3 linked regions of the Tamandua tetradactyla genome follow. The protein of the gene in region 2 interacts with the protein of the main gene of each other region in a pairwise test. Links are inferred from orthologs where the notes say so. Each region holds a gene or a part of one and is shown on either strand. Other genes may lie near its edges.

Region 1 (6,979 bases), on a different chromosome or scaffold from region 2:
ATAAAAAGGAGAGGAGTTTTGAGGCCTCCTTTTGGGGTCCCCTCCTGGATGCACTCCCCAGATATGCAGCGTGTTAAGGACCAGGGTGGTCGCTGGGCCACTGTTTCTACACTGACCTGAACCTATAGAAAAGAGGGCAGAGCCGGAGTCCTTCCTTATGGCCAGGGCAATCATAAACAACAACTTCCATTACAAGAACACTTTTACCCCCATTATTTAGTTGGGGGAACTGGGGTGCAAAGTCAGGGAGCTTCCCCCAAATTTCCTTGTGGCTTGTAAAGGGCAGAGCTGAGATTCAACACGAAGGACAGTCTGACTCCAGACAGGGCTAGGGTGAAGATGAAATAGCTAAGGAAGGGCAGTGCAAGGGTAGCTCAGTGGTAGAACTCTCCTCTGCCATGCAGGAGACCCAGGTTTGATTCCTGGACCACACACCTCAAAACAAAACAAAACAAAAAACCCCACAAAAACTAGGGAAACGTTCCAGGCACATTCTGTATAACTAGACCAATGTCTTTATGTTTGGGTTCTGTGAGCCTCTCTGACTCAGTTTTTTAATCTGTGACATGGATGTTTCATGCTGGAGCAAGGCCCTGGAGCCTTTGGCACTGATGATCCACCTCAGACACAGAGGCAAAGCGTGGCCAGCTCTCCCTTCTGTGCGTGTGGATCTTGCTATTTAGTGCTCAATCTCCAGGCAAATTGGCATTCTCCCTGCTGGCCACTGCAGCAGGGGAGAAGCTCATCTGAATGTCATGAAGGCAAAAAAAAAAAAAATTACAAGACAAATTTTCAGCCCAAACCACAACAATGAAATCTAACACACATTCATAACTAGTTTAGACGCTATAGCCCTGCTATAGTTATCTCCACCATAGAAATTTATTTTTGGATCATTCTAGTTTTTTTACCCAGGCCATGTTCAATAGGATGGAGACCACCTAGTTGAACTGGGGTGGGGTGAAAACCATCCCGAGATTCAAGTAAAAAAACTGCAGTTCATAGCTCCTGATATTAACAGATCGTGAACTCAGGCACATTTCTCTAGATCTCATTTTCTTCAGCTGTAAAATGTGAGAGTTGGACTAATATGGTCTCTAAAATCCTGCCTGGCTAAAAATTCTTAGACACCCACAATTGTGTTCACCAAGCTGTAGAAGAAAAGTGGAGGTTGCTTGTTTAAAGTTTGGGGGCCAAGATTTCCAGATCCCAGGTCCAACACTCCACTGACCCTGTAGGAGGTCCCTTCCTATACCCAGGGCCCAGCCGGCCAGTGGGAAGGACGATGGAAAGACGTTTCAGGCAACATGAGTAGAACCATAGGAAACCCTCCCTCGGGATAGGACTCAGCAGCCTGACAAGGCAGGAGGATGAACAGCAGGTCCTCTGGAGAAGTCTAAGCTGAGCTCCTTGAGCTCCTCCAAATCGCAGAGGTCACCAGTGGAGTTTCTCCTGAGATAGGAGAGTCAGCTGGGTGAGAACCTCTGTTCCCAGTGCTGCAGCACTGTGTGTCTCCCAGGTCCTTCTGGTGTCAGCCTCTGGGCTAGGGTGCCGGTTTACCTTGGCCAGTAGCCTGTTCCCATCATTATCCAGGATGAAAATAGCCTTGATGGTGTAGAGAGAAGGTTCCTGCAACTGACAAGGGAGAGGGGAACTCCATTGGTCTCTGAAGCAACAGCTCTCAAGGTGGACATGCTATTGTTGGCTCTATGGGATCTGCTGGCTCCAGGGTACATCCTCAGGCTCCAGCGACTCCAGCCCCAAAGGTCCACAGAGGGTCGGGCCCAACCCCCCCATATGGGCCAACTCCGGGGCTGCTCTACTCCAGGCAGGTGTTTCACTGCAGGCCCCGGGTGGCGCCGCACCCGACGTGTGCAGAAGGTCCATCCGGGCCCAAGTTCTGTCATGCACTGACTGCTCCAGAGCCCGAGTCCAAGTGTATCACAGAACCTGGGCCGGGTGGACAGTGGCGCCGAGCCTCCTCCTTCCAGATGACCCCGGACCGAGGCTGGATTGGTGCCTGCCTCCAGGCTCTGGCCCGGGTGGGCTCCAGAAGCACGCCAGTCGGCTCACGCGGACGGGAGCCTGGGGCGCTCAGGCCACTCTTACCTCCTCCCAGAGGAACCCCTGTCCACCTCCACCCTCCCTCTCATCACTCCCCCCAAACTGATCCAGAACTTGAGCCCGGCGGGGCTCAGGACTGGCCTCCTCGCGAGTCCGCACCCGGCGGACTTTTTCTCCCCTGCCCTCGGCCCGGGCCCTGCCAGGGGCTGGTCAGCAGTGGCACAAAGTTCCTGGCCGCGGGGCGCGCGAGTTGGGAGGTGGCTGCGCTCCCTCCTCCCTGAGCTCCGCTCCCAGCGTCCGGGCTCCCGGGCGCCCACGCTTTCCATACCCGCAGCCCCGTGGGCTCCGCGGCTCCTGCGGGCGGCGCCGGGCCCCGGGTCTGGGCCGCCGCGGCCCCCTCCCCCGGGTGCGGACGTGGCCAGGCCTCCGGTCGCTGCATTCCGCTCGCCGCCTCGCACTGACAGCGCCGCCCGCCTGCCGGCCCGCCTCCGCCCCCGCCCGGCCGGCCCTGCCCGCGGGGCCGCCCCCCGGAGGCCACCGCCCGCTAGCTGCCCGGCCGCCGCAGGCCTCGCGCCCATCTCCTGTGCTTGTCTTTCCTTTTCCCCACGGCCCTTACCTCCTGCTCGCTCTCCTTCCTCTCCTGTCCCGCCCTCCCCGCCCTGCACCCTACACTCCAGCTCTCCTTCCCCCATCTCTCATTTCCCTCTCTCCTGGGCTCCTTTCCATTTTCTCGCGCCTTGAACTCTCCGCATCCTCCTTTGCCCCAGGTCCACCCCTTCTTCCTACCTCCTCTGGGCGCCTGTGGGGAATCCTCAGACTGCCCTGAGGCCAGCAGAAAACACAGGCAACGTCCAGTTTTGTCTCTTGACCGCTCTTAGGTACTTTGGTACTGTGCTGGTTTGAGTCTATGGTGGACCCCAGAAAAGCCATGTCCTTAAATCCTCATTCAGTATTGCTGGGTGGGAGCATTTTGATTGTTCCCATGGAGATGTGACCCACCCAGTTGTGGGTGGTAACTTTTGATTAGATGTTTTCCATGGAGGTGTGTCTCTGCTCATTGAAGGTAGAGTTGCTTACTGGAATCCTTTAAAAGAGGAAACATTTTGGAGAGAGTCCTTTTTGGTAGAGCCACAAGAAAGCCAGCAGACGCTGCCATGTGCACCATGTGCCCTTTCAGCTGAGAGAAACATTGAACATCATCGGCCTTCTTGAACCAAGGTATCTTTCCCTGGATGCCTTAAATTTCTATAGACTTGTTTTAATTGGGACATTTTCTCAGCCTTAGAACTGTAAACTAGCAACTTATTAAATTTCCTTTTTTAAAAGCGAGTCATTTCTGATCTATTGCATTCTGGCAGCCAGCAAACTAGAGCAGGCACCATCCGTACGAACATACCAGGTCACCCTTCTGGTCTTCGGGGCAGGTTCTAGCAGTGAGAGCAGACCAGGCTGCTCTGGGGATAGTCTTCTGTGGGGAAGAAGCTCCCGCCTCTCTTCCAGTTTGGGGGGAAGGCAGCCTTGGCCCCGGGACACCTCCCAGGATGTCTCCCAAGAAGTGGCACTATCTGAACCAAGACACATGCCTAGCAGCACAGATACTCCTCCAAGGGCATCAGGCTTTGCAATTCACTTTGGTTTCTTTGGTAGAAATACACCAGAAGACAAGAGCCCACCAGTAGGCTTTTCGCTGCTGAATGGTACCTATCCGTTTACCTGTAACAACGTCATACGTGCATTTTACGTTTAAACACTTTCACATCCATGACCTGATATAACCCACACATGTGAGCTAGGTATTATCCCCATTTTATAGATCAGAAGGTGACAGAGTTTGTGTGACTTTTTCAAGATTCTAAAACTAGTAGTTGAGTGGGAGTGGAAACCCAAGTTTTAGATTTCAAATGTCTTCCCCTTTCTTCTCTCCAAGGCCTCTCACATTGTGCCACACAGGGAGCGCATCGCAGGTGACTGGGAAATGGGGCTTTCCTTTGCCAAATGGCATCAAGCCTTCTTACCTTCAAGTCTCAACTTAGATGTCCCTTCCTGACAACCACTGTACCTAATATGACAGGTCTCTCCTGTCATGCTTTCTGTCTCTGCGCCCTACTTATTTTTCATCGTATTTTCCTCGATTGCTAAATATTATTTTTACTTTTTACCAGTGGAAACCCACCAGACTTGGAGCACATGGCTGTCCCGTTCACTCACAGATCCCTAGTACCTGTCACAGGGCCTGGCACACGACAGGTTACTTAGCAAGCATTTGTGTAAATGGGGTGGACTTTGTGTAATTGAGTAAATACATGAACACGTGATTTCCGGATAAGGGAGATTGTGTATAAATATTCACAGACTACCTATTTAAACAAATAATTAAAATGTACTTAATGAAATCATACTTTATACACTGAACAAATATTTACAGAGTGCTCACTAATGTACTACCAGATACTCTTCTAGGCACTGGGACACAGTAGTAAAATAAACAAAATCCTTACTCTCATGGAGAGTATGTTCAAGTGTGTGTGTGAGTGTGCATGTGTGCATCCATTTCTTTGTAAGGCAAATAAAAAAGAATAAACAAGTAAATCAGATATTACATCAGTTGATGATAAGTGCTATTAAGAAAAATAGAGCCAGAATGGAGATCAGGAAGGGTGGGGGCTGGGAGAAGCCGGGCAACACCATTTTCAGTAGGGGCTTTTGAGAGGGCTTCTAAGAGGTGCATAGAGGTCTGAAGACGGTGAGGGGGTGAGCTGTGTAGACATCTGAAGAAACTTTGGCTGAACCGCTTTCTACAACGATTTGGAAGGCACATCCAAATCTCCGTTGCAGGCTGTCAGAGTTATAATAGTGAGCATTAGTCAACACAATTTGGTACAACTGGGGGAAAGAGGACCCAGGATTGGGCTTTTTATTTGTTTTGATTCCAGATCCTCAGAAGTCACTGTCATTAGTCATGGGGAATATCATAAGAAATACTGATTTGATTATTTCAATGCCCTCACATTTCTTTGAGCTAGCCAATTTTTAGTTTCATATTTACAAATTTTTAGTTCATGTTTCAGATAGTAACAAAAAAGCCTCCAGGGGCGTTTTTCTGCTTGGCACGTGATACCTGTCGCAGAAGAGGACCAGCCTTCTGAAGGGAGGGGGGAAGATCTGGGAAGGCAGGGGTCTTCAGGAGCTGGTGTGGTTCCCCAAGGAGAGCTAAATCCAGGGGGTGTGGATGCGAAGGCACTGGGGAGGTGCTCCGGGGGTAAGAGTGGACGTTGGCGAAGGAAGTGCATGAGGCATTGAATCCTCACCACCACTGTTGTTGCCATGGTTATACGGCTCTGTTTACTTCTCAAGTGCAGGGCTAGTTCAGTAAATTGAGAGCCCTGAAGTTCAGCTTTTCAAGAGATTCGGTCTCCACCGAGACCCCAGGACTCCTTTCTTTTCATGAGCTCCTCCAGCCGGAGGTGCACCTTTAACTGCGTTCTATGTTGAAATGCAAGCTAAGCGTGCAGGGCGTCAGGATGGCGTTTTCCACAAAGCATCGCCCCGGAGGACTCCATGGTCTAAGGCCAGCAGCACTTGAGAAGCATACAAGCAGAGTAGAAGAGAAGCAGCTGGGCAGCCTACCCAGAATGAGGAAGCAAAGCTGGGTTCAGAAGGAATGCAGCCTTCATGCTTCTTTGCTCTCTGTGGCCCCTTCACGGTGCGGTTGGGTGCATCTCTAAGTGGCTGGAGTCTGTAGAGTAGTTGCGCTCGGAACTGGTCCTGAAAGCACACACACCCTGCCTTGCGCAGTTTCCGGGGGGCCTTGACTCAAATGGGATTCGGTTCTGGGCCTTGGTCCAGCTTGGAGGTGAGACCACTCTGTTTCCTCCAACTCCCCCTCCTGTTGCCACATTTTGTACTGTCCTAGGATTTCAGCATCTGTTCTTGTGTGACAAGAAGAAACAGCTCCCTGGGGTGACAGCCTCTTCCCATCCTTCCTGCTGTATGTCAAGAGGGGGAGGCATGTGTAGAATGAGGCTGGGATGGGTATGCTGTGGCATCCTTCTGAGGAAACTAAAGCTTCTGTGCCCTGCCTGCAGGATGGGCTTCCTGTAGACCATTCTAAGGACCGGACTAATTTCCTCAATGCATTTGGCTTTATCTGGGATAGTTTTGCAGGGTAAATAGAGAGAAAGAGTTGTTCAAAAAAGGGACTTCACACTCAGCTCTACCCAGGTGCACGTGGCTTTATACACACGAGCTAATTTTGAAGCTTTGTGAATATATACTATCTCCATTTTGCCCAGGATGGTCCAACTAGTAGGTGGCAGCGCTAGATTTTTTAACCCAGATACGAGTCCCAAACACCCACTTCTTCCACCCATGGATGTATGAGTCCCAAACACCCACTTCTGCTTTGCAAAGCAGAAGAGGAGACAGTATTAGCATTATCATTTCAATTGGAGAACATAAATTGAAAGAAGGGGAGGCAAAGCTTTCACCAGTACAACGGCACCTCCTCAGCTGCACTGAAAATTATCCAAAGAAAAGGACCCATGTTACTGGGGACAGAGGACAGCTGAACTCAGCTTCACAAAATGTTGAATCGAGATATGAATGAACAAGGAGGCATTTTCACTGTATAGGTTAAGGAGAGAGAGCATTTTAGGATCCAGAAATAATACATACTAAAAAAACAGGTGATGATTCCAGTCTGTACTTCTACAGTAACCACTGCTGTTTCTTTTTACCCACCTTTAGCTCTAAGCTAGTGATTTTCTACTGTGGTTGCAGTAAGAATCACCTGGGGAGCTTTTTTTTTTTCAGAGAAAGAATTTATCTCCATGCACGTAGAAGGAGAGCAGACGGCCTAGCAGCCCAAAATCTGTCTCCCCAACTTTAGGGGGGGTTCAAGGTTTTTAAGGATTTT
Region 2 (7,080 bases):
CTGGAACTGGAGAAATAACTACAGAATGGGTCCAGGGGCCCAATGGACCCACTGGGAGGTGGACCTGAGCTAAAACTCCATCGATGACCTGACCTCCATAAGCCTGGACCTGAGTGACATTTTGGCTCTCCTGGAACTAGTGTCACTTCTGAGTCAGTGTCTAATAGTCCCCGACATAGTTGATCATATCCTTTTCCCCAGTGCACAATGACCCTGGTAAAAGGTCTTAGGTCTCCTTGGGGAAGGCTGAGAGGAAGGTTAACTATACAAATTTGGGGCAGTGTAAAATGGTGCTTCCCCAAGGGTACCTGGCCCTCCCCTCCTTCAAGGAGCTCTGGGTCTGTAAACTGTCTCAAATTTGGGAATTGATTAAAACGACCGTGACTCACTGTTTTTGTAATCCAAGTTAGACTTCTGTTCATTTGACTTAGAATTTTGCTTTTATAGCTCAAATAAGAATTTAGTAGACAGCCCATCTATTTTACTTCTAGTTATTCCATGATCTTCCAGCCAACGCCACACGTCTCTGCGAGTCAGATTATTCTGACTGCTGCCTTGAGTCTGCTGTCCGTTCTGATAGCCACATTCACCTTGTCTTTGGCGATTAACTGTTGCCACCTGGCTTCTGCCAACTCAGGATCTGATCATCCGCATGGTGTTTAAGGATGCCAGCTCAGTGACAGCAGTTCCCACAGTAGTATCTGAACTACAGAGAAGGGTGACTACAGAGATGACGGATTTATTCTCAAGGTCTGGTGAAAGGTGTGTCCTCTGGACATTCCTGGAGTGTGTGAGCAGGTCTTCCATGATAAATCCACTCTAAATTCCAATCTCTCTAGCCTCTGGATCACCTCATCTATATTATATCAGGGCAGTTCTGGCATTTCGACCTCAGGTAATATTGGCCACCTTTGGATCCATGTTTCACTCAACCATCCAAACAAACTGTTAATGCCCCTTCTAACCCCTAGAGCTACAATACTGAATGTAGAATCTCTGCTTAGTGGGCCCATATCAATTAATTCAGCTTCATACAACTTTATATTCCTTCCATCATTATCCCACACCCTTAATAGCCATTCCCACACATATTCCCCTGAATTTCTATCTATATAGATTAAAAAACTCATGCAGCTCCTTTGGAGATAGCTTACTTCCTCATGGTCACACTTTGTACCTCACCTTTTAGGGCCTGTTGGGACTTCAGTCTAGTTATAGGTCTTGAAGAAAAGGAAGATGGTTGGGGTGGGTCATGAAAAGATGTAGAAGTATCTTTCAAGCCAACCACCTCAGGGCATTCCACTATAGTTTCTTCTGGTGAAACGGGACCAATTGCTCCAGACAGAGAAGTGAGAGCTATTTCCCTAGGGGAGGTGGTTACAGGGTTAGCAGGCACTGAAAGGTTAATCCCTTTAAGTGGAGATTGGATGGCAGACTCCTCTGGGCAGATCGGAAACTGGGAAGCTGTTTCCTCAAGGCAGTCCATTGCAGGTCTATCTAGCAAAGGCTCAGCAGATTCCAGGGATCCCATCTCCCCATCACCATCATTTTATCAAGCCATATATCCCCATACCACGTTTCAGAATCCCATTCTTTCCCAATCAAAGCCTTTAAGGGCAGACACCCTGCAAGGTTGAAATTTTACTTTATGTTATAAATCTGCTACTCTAACAATGAAGCTCTGTGTCTGGTTTTCAGAGATGTCAAGCTTGTGACCACAGGAAATAAGATTTTCTTTTAGGGCACACATAGAAACTTTTACATAGTTCATATGGGACTTAGGTTTCAAATTTGAAGCCTTCAGCTCATCCCTTTCGCTCACCAACGTATCCAGTATATCAAATAACAACCAACCAACATCATAGCTCTTAATTCGACAAAACTCTGAAAAGGTGTCAAAAACACTCTCACCCTGAGCCTTTCCTTGCATAAGTGTACAATTAACAGAATCTAATGGTGATATTTTGCGTATCTCTCTTGCCAGCTCACCCCATAGACTGTCAGTGCCATCTTGATTATTTGTGCCTAACAGAAAACCAATTGTTAAAATCCATTTTTAAGATTCTGTTTTTCAAGAATCACTCCCCGTACCAAGCTTTATTAGTCAGGGCTCCCTAGAAAAAGAGAACCAAGAGGAGACATCTGTAAATATGAGATTTATAAAGGTGTCTCATATGACCATAGGAACAGAAGAGTCAAAAATCAGTAGGCAGTCTCTCTCTCAGCCAACACGACAAGCAAACTCACTGCCCTCTCCCTCTCTAAGTGGGACATGACTCCCAGGGGTGTGGACCTTCCTGGCAACGTGGGACAGAGATCCTGGAATGAGCTGGGAATCAGCATCAAGGGATTGAGAAAACCTTCCGGACGGAAAGGGGATGAGCAAAATGAGACAAAATAAAGTGTCAATGGCTGAGAGATTCCAAGCAGAGTCGAGAGGTTATCCTGGAGGTTATTCTTACGCATTAAACAGATATCACCTTTTTAGTTAAGGTGCAATGGAGAGGCTGGAGGGAACTGCCTGAAAATGTAGAGCTGTGTTCCAGTAGTTATGTTTCTTGAAGATGATTGTATAATGATATAGCTTTCGCAATGTGACTGTGTAACTGTGAAAACCTTGTGTCTGATGCTCCTTTTATCTACCTTGTCAACAAAGGAGTAGAACATATGGAATAAAAATAAATAATAGGGAGAACAAATGCTAAAGTAAATTTAGTTTAAATGCTAGTGATCAATGAAAGCAAGGGGTAAGGGGTATGGTAGGTATAATCTTTTTTTTTTCTTTCCTGTGTTCCTTTTATTTCTTTTTCTATTGTCTTTTTATTTATTTTTCTGAATTAATGCAAATGTTCTAAGAAATAATGAATATGCAACTAAGTGATGATATTGTGAATTACTGATTATGTATGTTGTTTTATTTTTGCTTCTTTATTTTTTTAAATTAATAAATAATTTTTTTTTAAAAAGATGCATAATGTTTCATCCGTTGAGCGTAGCGTTCCATACTTTCCTTACTTACGGACAGTTAGGGTGGGGTATCTTGCCGCAAACTGCTGCAGTGCACAACCTCATTACCTTTTTTTGGGCTAGGGGTGGGGTTACAGGTTACAGGTTTTGAACATCATTTAACTCTTGACAATCTCCCTTTCCCGCGAAACGTGCACGCCCGCTCCCCAACCCCCCAGCCTCCGAGTCCCCCAGCATCAGCACCGCCCAATCCAAAAGGCTGTCCCCGCCTCCATCACTCCAGCACACCCCCTTTGCTGTCGATCCCCCACCCCCACATTTCTTCGCCTGCGGACCTTTGCCCGGTCTCCTGCCTCTCCGCGCGCTGCCCCCTCCCGAGGCTAGCTGGTGGCACGCGTCGCATCGCTGGACCATGCCGACTCAACTCGCCGCAGCGAATGCAATTTGGCACGTTGGCACTCACTGTCCTTACCCTAGCTTCGATTTGGGACGTTGGCACGTACTGTCCCGAGCAGGTTTCCAGAAAGGTGAACCCCGGGTGATGTGTCATTTTCCCTTTTCCATCCCTTCTCGCCCACAGCGCTAGGCGGCGCGGGTAGTTGGCTCTGGGTGAGTACTAGCAATCAAAGTGACGCTGAAGTCTCGTGCTGAGGCTTAGTTAAATCTCTGAAAGTTAATAAAGTACAAAACAGTTTGCACCGGGTGCAGGTGTGATCGGGATTAGGTGGATATGATTATAATAGCAACAGCACACATTCAACAAGCGCTCGTTGCGCACTTACTATTATTCGCTGCGGTGACCAAAAGACAGTGAAAGCAATAAAGTGTAAATATAGTATGTCAGGTGGTGACTTGAGCTAAGGAGAAGAATCAAGCAGGAAGGAGCATTGAAAGTGAGAAATGACGCAGAGATGGGGCGCCCGCCCACCCTCCGAGTCTCCGCCTCTTGGGCCTCTAGCCTCTAGTAAGGACAGGGTTAATGCCGGCCTCGGCTGCGGCGGCCGGGATGTGCGCAGGCGCAGAGCACGGTTTGCGCCTGCGCAGAGCGCAAGGCGACGTGGCTGGACCGAACCCCGGAAGTGGCCCCTGTGGAACAACCGCGGGACCGCTGCTCCGAGCCCTGCCAGGCCCGCGTAGTATTTATTGCTGCGTTGCGCCCCCGTCGGCATCGCCATGCTGAAGAAATTCGACAAGAAGGACGAGGAGTCGGGTGAGGGACCCCAGGCCTGGGTTTGAGGGAGGCCGGACCTCCACGCAAGCCCCCAGGACCCTCCCTGGGAATCCTCTTTAAGGTGCCTCTGACCTGAGCTAGAGGCCGAGGCCCAGTGAGGGGTTGGGGCTTGTGCGAAGATCCAAGACTGGACGGTGGCAGGCCTCGGGGACCGAGCATCCTTCAAGAGACCCCTTCCCCTCGTAAGCTCGGACCGCTACTCGCCGGGTGACCTTGGACAAGTCACGCTCTTCTCTGGGCCTCAGTTTTCCCATCTGTCAGAGGAGAGAGTCGGGCTGGCTACTCCCTTGCTACTTTCTTCGTCCAATCTCTCTGAATTTGCCGGCGCTGCGTTGATGCTTGTCCAAGCTAGGGCATGGTCAGCGGAGTCAGTGTGCTGTGAACCCTAATTCCATTCATTCATTTGTTCAACAAACATATTGAGCGCTTACTGTATGCAACGCTTTGTACAGTCCTGATACAGTCCTAGAACAAGGTAGACAGTTGTCCCCTGGGCTGGACACATTAGAATGGAATAAACAAGACAGTCACAGGTCTAGTAGAGGAGAAGAACATCAATCAGATAATCATACACATGATTAATTACTGAGATGACATCTGCTATTAAGGAAACCTAGTAATGGGACGGTTAGCCCCTGGCACGTAGTAGGGACTCAAATAGTACGGGGCTGCATAAATGAATGCAAAAAGTGACATACACCATGAGAGGCACAGAAGAAGGGCTGTACCAGCAGGGCTGCTAGATGACTGTAAGTGGTTTGGGATAGAGTGGATTCCCCTTGTAGCAGAGTAGTAGGATCTATGGACAGATTGTAGAGCCTTAATTGCATTCATGAGAACTTTGAAGTTTACCAGGTAGCCAGTAAAGAAATCTTTCCCTTTCCTCTGTCTCTGAGAGTTTTAAATTCAGAAATAGAACCAGTATTCATTCTTCTCCATTACTGATTGTAGGTGGAGGCTCCAACCCATTCCAACACCTTGAGAAGAGTACAGTACTTCAGGAGGCAAGTGTCATTTGTTCCCCTTTATCTTACATCATAAATGTTCATGGTTGAGAAGATGAAAATATGAACACATTCAGACAGCTGATTTAGAGAACTATGAGGGAGAAAACCAGTGCCTGGAAAAGCAGAAAAACTTTTGTTCTCAAAGAGAATTCATTAAGCCTACGTTTTTGTTGATGATATTGGTTGTTTCTTCTTTGAGTTAACAAGTGATTACTAAGTATTTGCTGGTTAGTAGGTTGGCCCATCTCTAACTAATATTTAGGGAAGATTTCAGAAGTTGATTTTAGATGGATTGAGGGAAAAACCTCTTCCTTTATGAAAATAAGCTTGTCAAGACAGGTGTATTGATTTACCTTAGGACCTGCCAGAACCTTGAATGTGCTTGAGAATTGTCAGTGGAAGGGATAGAAGATAATAGTCTTGGTCACTTCTTCTCAGGCACGTGTATTTAATGAAACTCCCATCAACCCTCGAAAATGTGCCCACATCCTCACCAAGATCCTTTACCTCATAAACCAGGTAATAGGGTGAACCTGGGAGTGCAAAAAAAAATGGTGCTGGGGGAGGTTTGGGAGAGGGATATATGAATTATCACACACTTAGGTGATTTGACAGCTTTTGGTCCTGCTTTGGGTCTCCCGGAGCATCCAATCCTGTTGTGTTGCCTTTGATGGCACCTCTGCGGGGTCCAAAGAGCTGGCATGGGGTGATGTGACGAAAAAAAAGCCATCTGGCCCCTCCTTCCTAGGCTAAGGCTTCTTTCTTTTTTACCACAGGGGGAGCATCTGGGCACCACTGAAGCAACCGAAGCCTTCTTTGCTATGACCAAGCTCTTTCAGTCCAATGATGTAAGTACCCTGGCCCCAGTTTTTCTTGAGGGGGAGCAGCTTATAAGAAGGTGGTGGGAATAGAAAAAAAAATAGGAGGAATAAAGGTTAAAATCTGTTGAGTAGATGGAAATACTAGTGGTCAATTAGAGGGAGGGGTAAGGGGCATGGTATATGTGAGTTTTTTTTTTTTCTTTTTATTTCTTTTTCTGAAGTGATACAAATGTTCTGAAAAATGATCATGGTAATGAATATACTGCTATGTGATGATATTATGAGCCATTGATTGTATATCATACTAAGAATGTATGTTAAGAATGTTCATGTTTGTATGTTGTTTTGGTTTGATAATACAAAATAAATTAAAAAAAAAAAAAAAAAGATGATGGGAGGACCAAGGAAAGCTGGCTTTGCCAGGCACTGTGGGCTGCCTTTGAGAGATCAGGGTTTTTTTTTTCCTAACTCTGGCCCTCATGGTGAGCCAGGGATGATAGGGCTTTTCTCATCTCTCACAGCCCACACTCCGTCGGATGTGCTATCTGACTATCAAGGAAATGTCTTGCATCGCAGAGGATGTCATCATTGTCACCAGCAGGCAAGTTGTTGGTGCTGTGGGTGGTTCTTCCGATGGGTTCCATGGACACAGAGGACATTTTTCCTCTTATGTGTACCAGAGTATGAGACTTTTGGTTGGCATAGTCATCTGGCACTCTTGCCCATTCTGTCTGCCTCATCCTCCAGTTACTGGTGCCAACCCCATGGTGGCCTGCAGGGTATGCTGTTTCCCTTTTAATTATCTGGCTTTAACTTGGACACAAACCTCTTCCTCCCTTTGAAGTACACAGAGCCAGAAGAAGCAAGAATAGCAGGAGAACATGGGTTGGGAGATGTTTATAGTAGTCCAGGCAAGCGTGATAACCTTGGACCTAGAGAGGAGTAGAAGAAGGGTGTGGGTTCAGGGGAGCAGGCCTGTAACTGAGGCGGGGCAGGGCAGGCTCCCTGTGTGTTGAGCACCCCGTCTCCCCCGGCAGCCTCACAAAAGACATGA
Region 3 (7,796 bases), on a different chromosome or scaffold from region 2:
TGGAATCAGCTGTGGATGAAGCTGACATGATTGTGATTTAATTCTATGAAATGTCCTCATAACAACAGACAAGTCAGCACTCGCCCAAAGAGATGAACAGGTACCACCACTTGGCCAAAATGACACGTGAACCTGACCATGACAGTGGTATATGGAAACTCTGTATTTTATGCATGATTTTTTTTTGTAAACCTAGAAATTATCTAATAAAAAATAGAACAAAAACTAAGAGGTCTAGATGATCCTATCGGCTGATCAAAATAGTTGACTACTTTGAAAGCCCAATGTTACAAGTAGAAGGTTGCTTGGTGAACAAATGGAATTAGTTGATTAATTTTAATGGCTGGCAGAGCTGAATCCACCACCTTTATAAAGATATAAGATATTCATTTGTGTTAGTGGAAGAATAGGGAATCTTTTCCCCTAAAGTTCACTTGAGAAATAATGACAAACTTATTTTGGGGAGGTGGGAGGGATTCTATGTAGACCATCCCCCTACAATCCATCTATAGAGACAAGGTCTGAATTGATTAAGTAGGATTTCAGAACCAAGGTACAATTCAATGGATTGGGTTTCTGTTCCAGCCAAGTTAATATAATTGATTCTGTTTATATGCACCTCAGCTATTTTATTATAATTGATTGGGTTAGAGCTTGATTGTGTTATGGCTCCAGCCATTTTACTTTAAGAGATTAGGCGAGGTAGAGCTTTGGCTATGTTGATGAAATTACGCTTTCCTGAAACTACATCAAGACTTTTGCTACTTCTACAAACAGTTGATTCTATCCATCACACTTTGACTTCTAATTTCACTTGTGACACATAATCTTTTGGGGAGTTTTTTTTTACTGTCACTGTTTTGTGTGCACTTGAACATAAAGAACTGTGGTGTCTCCCTAGTTAGTCTTTATGCCTTTCACTTGTCCTCTTCTCATCCTACCTGCACACGTGCAGTCAAATTAATGATCTTAAAATTGCTTCCATAAACTCATGTTTCTGCTCAGAAGTGTTCAATTATGTTCAGTTATTTATAAAATAATAAGTAAATACTAAGCATTTAACAGTTTACACACATTTTCTCAAACATTATCTCATTTAATCCTCCCAACTTTATCCCCATTTTATGATAGTCCCTTTTTCATTTATTAGTTTTAAATTGCTTGTTGTAACAAAGTCCTACAGGAACAACATATATAAAGAAAATCTATTGAATAATCCACTCTTTCCATCTCATCCTCTCAGGGTAACCTATGTTAATATTTTTCTTCCATATTTTCCTATATTTTCTCTTTGTCTGGAATGCTCTTCCCCCAAATATCCACATGGCTCATTCTCTAACTTTTTTTAGGTGTCTTATCAAATGTACCCTTCTTAGTAAGGTCTTCTGGGACCATCTTATTGAACCTCTTGCCTCTCCTTCACATCTCACTGTGAAAGGTACCACTCCATATTGTGCAACATAATGGGATCACTCCCGGTTTTCCTTTTTAGTTTTAATTTTTTTCCATAAACCTTATCACCACCTAACTCTTATATAGGTTACTTATTTCTTCGGTTTATTCTCTGCTTCCGCTGCCTAACTACAATGCAAATGCTACAAGGGCAGAGGTACCTGATTGTTTTGTTCACTGCTATAACCCCAGTGCCCAAAGCCAATGCCTGGCACATGGCTGGCATTTGATAAACATTTATTGAAAACATATACAAAGATATTTATGATAGAGTCTTAAAGTTTTTAAATGAAAAAAATAATCAGTTACCCCAACTATTTTGATCAATAGGATTGTCTAGACCACTTAGGTTTTTTTTTTAATTTTTTTGTTAGAGAATTTGTAGGTTTACAGGAAAATAATGCATAAAACACAAAGTTCCCACATACCACCCTATTATTAATACCATGCATTAGTATTGCGACAAATTGTAGCATTTGCTACAATTCATGCAATAACATTTTTATAACTCTTCAATTAACTATAGCCTATTGTTTACAATAGGGTTCACCATGCCATGTTGTCCTATGTGGTTTTTTTTTTCATTTTTATTCTAGTAATATATATAAAACCTAAAATTTCCCCTTTTAACCACGTTCAAATACAGAATTCAATGACGTTAATGATATTCACAATGTCGTGCTGCCATCACCACCATCCATTACCAAAATTTCCATCAACCAAGTTCTGGGGTACCTGATCAAGTTAGCTGGAATACTATGAATGCAGCATCTCAGGTAAAGATTCAGGTGGATATAAGGAAGAAGTGGGCTGAAGTAAACATCACTCAGGAAGAAGGGAGAGGAAACTGAGGTAGGAGAAAATGTGACAAAGGGAAGATTTTCTTTCACATATAACTCCCTCAACTTACCACTATTCATAGACCCTTTGTTAAAAGAGTTCTCTAAGGGATGTGAGGGTAGCTCAGTGGTAGAATTCTCGCCTGCCATGCGGGAGGCCCCATTCGATTCCTGGCCCATGCACTCCCCAAACAAATAAGCAAACAAACAAAAAACCAAACAAAAGCAAAAATTCAACAAATGGTGGTGCAATGAACGGATACTCATATGGAAAAAGAATGAAATGTGACCCCTGCCTTACAGCACACAAATTAAAAAAAGAGTTTCCTATCATCTCTTACTCCTTTACCTCCAAGTAAGCTCCTTTCTAAATAGGTGTAGGAAGGTATCTAAAAATTTCTAAAAACTAGTATCTACCTCATCTGATACCTTATCTGTTAACTGGTTAACTGCCTACAATAAAAAATATCTTATTAAAAACTACCTGGATTTTAAGATTTTTACCTAGATACTCCCCTCTCTGCTCCTTATCACCATCTTTCTGTCCAAACCCCAATATTCAAGCCTAAGCATCCCTGATTGGGCTCATAGTTGGTCAACTGTTTCCCTTCCCATTTTATATGTAGTATCTAATCTGAGTTGTCCCAAAACCTTGGTGGAAAGATCGTCAAGTTGGAGTCTTCTGCTGTGAAATTATTTAGACTGTGCCTCTCCATACTCTTTTCTCAAAGAGGTTGCAGGTTGAGTTACAGATTACAACAAAGAGAGCTCAATTCCAACCTCATCAACTGAAGCCTTGGGGGTGGATCTATGTTTCCTTAAACTATAAGCGTCCAGTTTGAGACTCTGAAGTTCACAGATAATGGACCTTCATGTTTTGTGTCCAGGGCTTAGCATCTCTGCAATTTTAAAGGGACAAGGTGATAAATCAAGTCAGCTCAATCAGGTATAAAAGAAGTAATTTCTCACACGCCAGTCCCTCAATTCCAGATGACTTTCTCTGCCATTTTTCAATTTATATTTGAGACCTGGATTGTTGAGCTTTGTCACTTGGGACTTCATCAGAAAATCATTTACCTTCCTCTTGTTTTTGTTTTTGTTTTTGTTTTTTTATTAGAGAAGTTTTGCTTTACAGAAAAATCATGCAGAAAATACAGGGTTCCTCTATAACCCACTCACGCACATAGCTTTCCTTATTATAAACATTTTGCATTAGTGTGGTACCTTTGTTACAATTGATGAAACATTATTATACTTATAACTATAGACCACAGTTTACATTAATTCACTCTTTGTGTTGTATAGTCCTATGGTTTTTAAAAATTGTTATTCTAGTAACATTTATACAACGTAAAATTTCTCCTTTTTAACCACATTCAAATACATAATTCAGCGATGTTATTGTGCTACCATCACCAGCATCTATTACCAAAACTTTTCCATTGTTTATTTTACTTCTCTCTTACGCCCTCTGACTCTACTCTGAAACTATGAAAAAAAAACTCTTGGGTTGGTTTGGACCTTTTCTTGGAGGGATCCTAAAGACAAAGTTGTCTGAGATGGGAAATATAAATTCCTGTAGGGATAATATAAGGCAATGAGAGGTGCCGAACTACGGGGGTCAGGCACCAAGGAACCAAGGGTTGGGGAAAGCAAACTTGATCAAAACCCTGCCCCATTGTGAAATCTCTGCACTTAGTAAACTTCTCTTTTCTCGTTTTGCAACGGCTTGTCCCTACTGGAAAACCGCAGACACTGCTCCCTGTACCCTCCCTCCCTTGTCCTGGTCCTTTACAAACCCTTTACCCCTCCTATTTTTCTCCTTTCAGGCGTCTAAAGCTCTAACGTCTCATTTCACATCTGACCAAAGGAAACTGTTAATAGAGAAATTCACTGGCTTCTTTTCCTTCCCTGGGTCCTGCAAAGCCTGGGACTCCAACTTAGAGAGATCTTTACCGTGGCGGCCTTGGTTCTTCTAGTTAAAACGCGAGGCATCTAGTGTAGTGGCTCCACTTTGTGGTTGTACAGACTTCCTTTGAGGATGCTTAAATAGCTGACCAAGCCTGGAGGGTGTCAGGCATAGCTGCTCCAGCAACCCGAAGTAACATGGACCTAGGGTGGGCTCTTGGTATAGTGATTAGGATAGGATTCTGTCACCGGCTGCCAGTGCTAAGGGCCAAAAGGTCATAGCGCCCCCTACAGGCAGTGCTGATTAAAGTTACTTAGGCGAGTCGACGGTATCACGTACGCTCTACTCTACCAATCGAAAATTAATAATCGCTTCCTCTGTTCCCCATGGAAACAACCCCGCCCCTGTCACTCTATGCCTCATTCCCTGGAGCGAATTTGGCTTTTTATTGAGTATTCAAGCTGACAATCAAATATCTGAGTTTTCTGGTTGGATATCTTACTTCCGTTGAGAAAGCTAGTACATTGATTGGTCAGTAAGGCAATTCTGGCGTCTGGTGTCCAATGACCCTTATCCTAGGGGGCTGCTTAATGGAGACGTAGAGCCAATCAGCGGCTGCGTTCTTTTTGCGGCTCCACGTCGGCACCAGCTGCGGGGCAAGATGGAGGCGCTGATTTTGGTAGGAGTCGGAGGGGCAGGCGAGATGCTGAGATGTCCATAGGGGCCGGAGTCGGGTTCAGCTCGACTGGAGGGAGGAGAGGGGGCAATTCTGGGTAATCCTCGGGGACCGGAGGTTCTGCTGGCCCTCGGAATAAGCGTGTGGCCTAGCACAGGAGCTAAAGCCTCGGACCGGAGTAGGAAGCCCTGCCGGGGAGAAAGAGGGTCATAGAGTCGGTGAAAAGTTGAAGGGAGCACATGGAGTCCGAGGATACATAGAATTATAAGCGTGCAGGGTTGGGGGCTTCTTTAGATTTTCCCTAATTCTTTACATTGTGGGTGATCTCCTGATCTGAGTTTCCTTAAATATCTAAATTCGCCCCAAATTGTAGGATTAGAGTTTTCTCATCACAAGTTGTGAGTTTGATGGCTATGAGTTTGACATTCCTTGCCGTATTCCTTCAAAAACCGTTTTTCTCCCTACTTCGGTTTCCCGTTAATTCCTGTTATGTCTGTCTGTCTTGATGAAGAGTAAGTTTATTCCACTGAAGTTCTGGAATAGCTCATAGAGTTAGTTTGGATTGTAGAATATTTTTTCCAGATTCTTTATTCTGTTCTCCTTTTTCCCTCCTCATTTAGACTTTTGGAATTCTTACTGTAGGATCTGCGATGCTGACTCTCTCCCTGGATACATGAGAATTGTAGTGGTTAAAGGGGCATGTTAGCCCGTTTTTAATTCATAACATCCATTTTAGTTGTTCAAACCAGTAAAATACCTATTACTCCTTTTGACTGGACCTAAGCATTTCTCTCAAAAATATCCTGTCTTCAATTTGGAAATATATATATATGAATATGAATTTATGATATGATATGAATTTAGTTCCTGGCCTCCTTCCTTGAGTTGAACTCTAGAAAGCTTTCCGGGAGACTTTTCTTTTCCTCCGACTTTATGCACATCCGTATCCAGATCCTCATCATCACGTAGAAGAGACTAACAGGTTTCAGTTTTCCCCTCCTTCAAAACTGGCAAAGGTGGAGATAATTCCTAGATTGTTCAAATCTAGGTAGAAAGCTTAAAATCCAGGTACTTTTAAATATATTTTTAGTAGCAGGCAGTTAACCAGTATCCTTAACCAATTAACAGATAGGATAGATAGATGCTAGGGAATTGGTTTCTTTGGAAGTTTTTAGAAATTTGTAGATACCTTCCTTACATGTTTAGAGGGACCCTGCTTGGCAGTAAAGGAGCAAGAGAAATGATAGTTAGGGTGCCCTTTTAGCAAAGGGTTTATGAATAGTGGTGAATTGAGGGAGTTATATGTGAAAGTCTTCCCTTTGTCACATTTTCTCACACCTCAGTTTCCTCTCCCTTCTTCCTAAGGGACATTTGTTCCAACTCACTTCTTCCTTATATCCACTTGAATCTGTACCTAAGATGCTGCATTCATGGTGTTAGAGCTAACTTGATCAGGTACCCCAGAACTTTGCTTTAAAAATCATACTGAAGTAATCAATGCCTAATGAGTAGGGAGTTTTTGTGTAGGTTGATGGACATTTTGGTAATGGATGGTGGTGATCGCAGCATGACATGGTGAATGTGACTATTACCACTGAAGTGTGTACTTGAAAGTGCTTAAAATGGGAAATTTTATGTTGTATATATGTTACCATAGTAATAATATAATCCTCATGCTTTTTTTTTTATCCTGAGGGACCAATGTAATTATGTTAAATGGGAAATCAAAGTACGAGAAAACTTTGGTTCAACAGGATAAAGATCTAAGGTGAGATACAGTGAGTCCACATTCTTTTCACAGTGAAGATGATGACCTAAGAATTGTGCTTAAGGAAGCACAATATCAAAACTAGGATTAGATTGGATTTATTCAACCTCTAAGATCACATCCCTCTATGATGTTACCAAGATTCTCTCACCATGGGCTTTCTCCGTCCTCTGTATGCAAAATTGTCCTTTCAAACATCACCAACAGATATTAATCCCTGTACTGGTCTCCAGAGATTTTAAGATATTAAATTAGTATTATCTTTCCTTTGGGTTAACTCTTTTCAACATTTTTTGCTCTTTACATACAGTTATTTGGGGCTCTCAATTAAGAATTTAAACACTTTTCTTCACTTTTCCAGCTTTCTCAACTGGAGTTCCATGAGCCTTAATGCCCTAAGGCATCCATTGTAATGAATCAGTCTCTATCCACTGCATCCAGAATGCCATTCATTATGAACCCTCCATTGGGGGAAGTGAGAAAATGGTCACTTAAATAATTTTCTGTGTTATGTAGTTCTGATGAGGAACTTTTGTTGAGAATCAGGTAATATTTCCTAAATCTCTATTCTCTCCTCATTATTGTTACACACTGGTCTACCAAAATTAGCTCCATTTGATTGAGAATCAAACTTCCTTACAGTACCTTTTTTAAATCTCATCCTCTCTTCTGTCTATTCTCAGCCATATCTCCTGATTCTTAGGTCATCATCTTCATTGTGAAAACAATGTAGACTCTCTGTATCTCACCTTAGATCTTTATCCTGTTGAACCAAAGTTTACTGTACCAGCTGAGTGTTTAACAGGCCACTCCCTAGAGAGGGCAAACTCCTTTCAGAGTAACTTTCCTTTTCCTCCTTTCACATTTCTGTTTCCTGGTTTGGCTGGACCTCTGGGGAAATCTGATCAGAAAATATTCTTCTGTCCTCACTCACCTTGACATAGCACACAGTTGTAGAAGAAGTAAAGAGTTGAGAAGAAGGAAAGCGTAAACTAGAGGTGATCAAGTGGAACTATTGATCAAAGTTGGCTCTGATTATGAGAATTTCTTAATCCCAATAGGTTCCCTTCACTTAGGTATGTTAGAATGGGTCACATTTCTTTCCTGAATTAAGTAATCCAGCTCTAGCTTTCAAACAGATTTGTTTCCTCT

Evidence for each region.
Region 1: the proteins of COPG1 (region 2) and COPZ2 interact in a two-hybrid assay, tested with the Homo sapiens proteins (2 studies listed by BioGRID). The link is inferred for Tamandua tetradactyla from reciprocal best matches to the Homo sapiens genes COPG1 and COPZ2.
Region 3: the proteins of COPG1 (region 2) and COPZ1 interact in a two-hybrid assay, tested with the Homo sapiens proteins (2 studies listed by BioGRID). The link is inferred for Tamandua tetradactyla from reciprocal best matches to the Homo sapiens genes COPG1 and COPZ1.

Annotation. Positions count from the first base shown.
Region 1 is NC_135332.1:29,313,687-29,320,665, forward strand, and holds the start of COPZ2 (coatomer subunit zeta-2), read right to left. Parts: upstream 3,004-6,979; 5' UTR 2,995-3,003; coding exon 2,851-2,994; intron 2,504-2,850; coding exon of another isoform or gene 2,393-2,503; intron 1,636-2,392; coding exon 1,561-1,635; intron 1-1,560. UniProt on the Homo sapiens protein: The coatomer is a cytosolic protein complex that binds to dilysine motifs and reversibly associates with Golgi non-clathrin-coated vesicles, which further mediate biosynthetic protein transport from the ER, via the Golgi up to the trans Golgi network.
Region 2 is NC_135335.1:31,965,099-31,972,178, reverse strand, and holds the start of COPG1 (coatomer subunit gamma-1), read left to right. Parts: upstream 1-4,014; 5' UTR 4,015-4,140; coding exon 4,141-4,177; intron 4,178-5,149; coding exon 5,150-5,202; intron 5,203-5,643; coding exon 5,644-5,724; intron 5,725-5,981; coding exon 5,982-6,053; intron 6,054-6,547; coding exon 6,548-6,627; intron 6,628-7,063; coding exon 7,064-7,080. UniProt on the Homo sapiens protein: The coatomer is a cytosolic protein complex that binds to dilysine motifs and reversibly associates with Golgi non-clathrin-coated vesicles, which further mediate biosynthetic protein transport from the ER, via the Golgi up to the trans Golgi network.
Region 3 is NC_135333.1:115,696,866-115,704,661, forward strand, and holds the start of COPZ1 (coatomer subunit zeta-1), read left to right. Parts: upstream 1-4,765; 5' UTR 4,766-4,861; coding exon 4,862-4,879; exon of another isoform or gene 4,880-5,507; intron 5,508-7,796. UniProt on the Homo sapiens protein: The coatomer is a cytosolic protein complex that binds to dilysine motifs and reversibly associates with Golgi non-clathrin-coated vesicles, which further mediate biosynthetic protein transport from the ER, via the Golgi up to the trans Golgi network.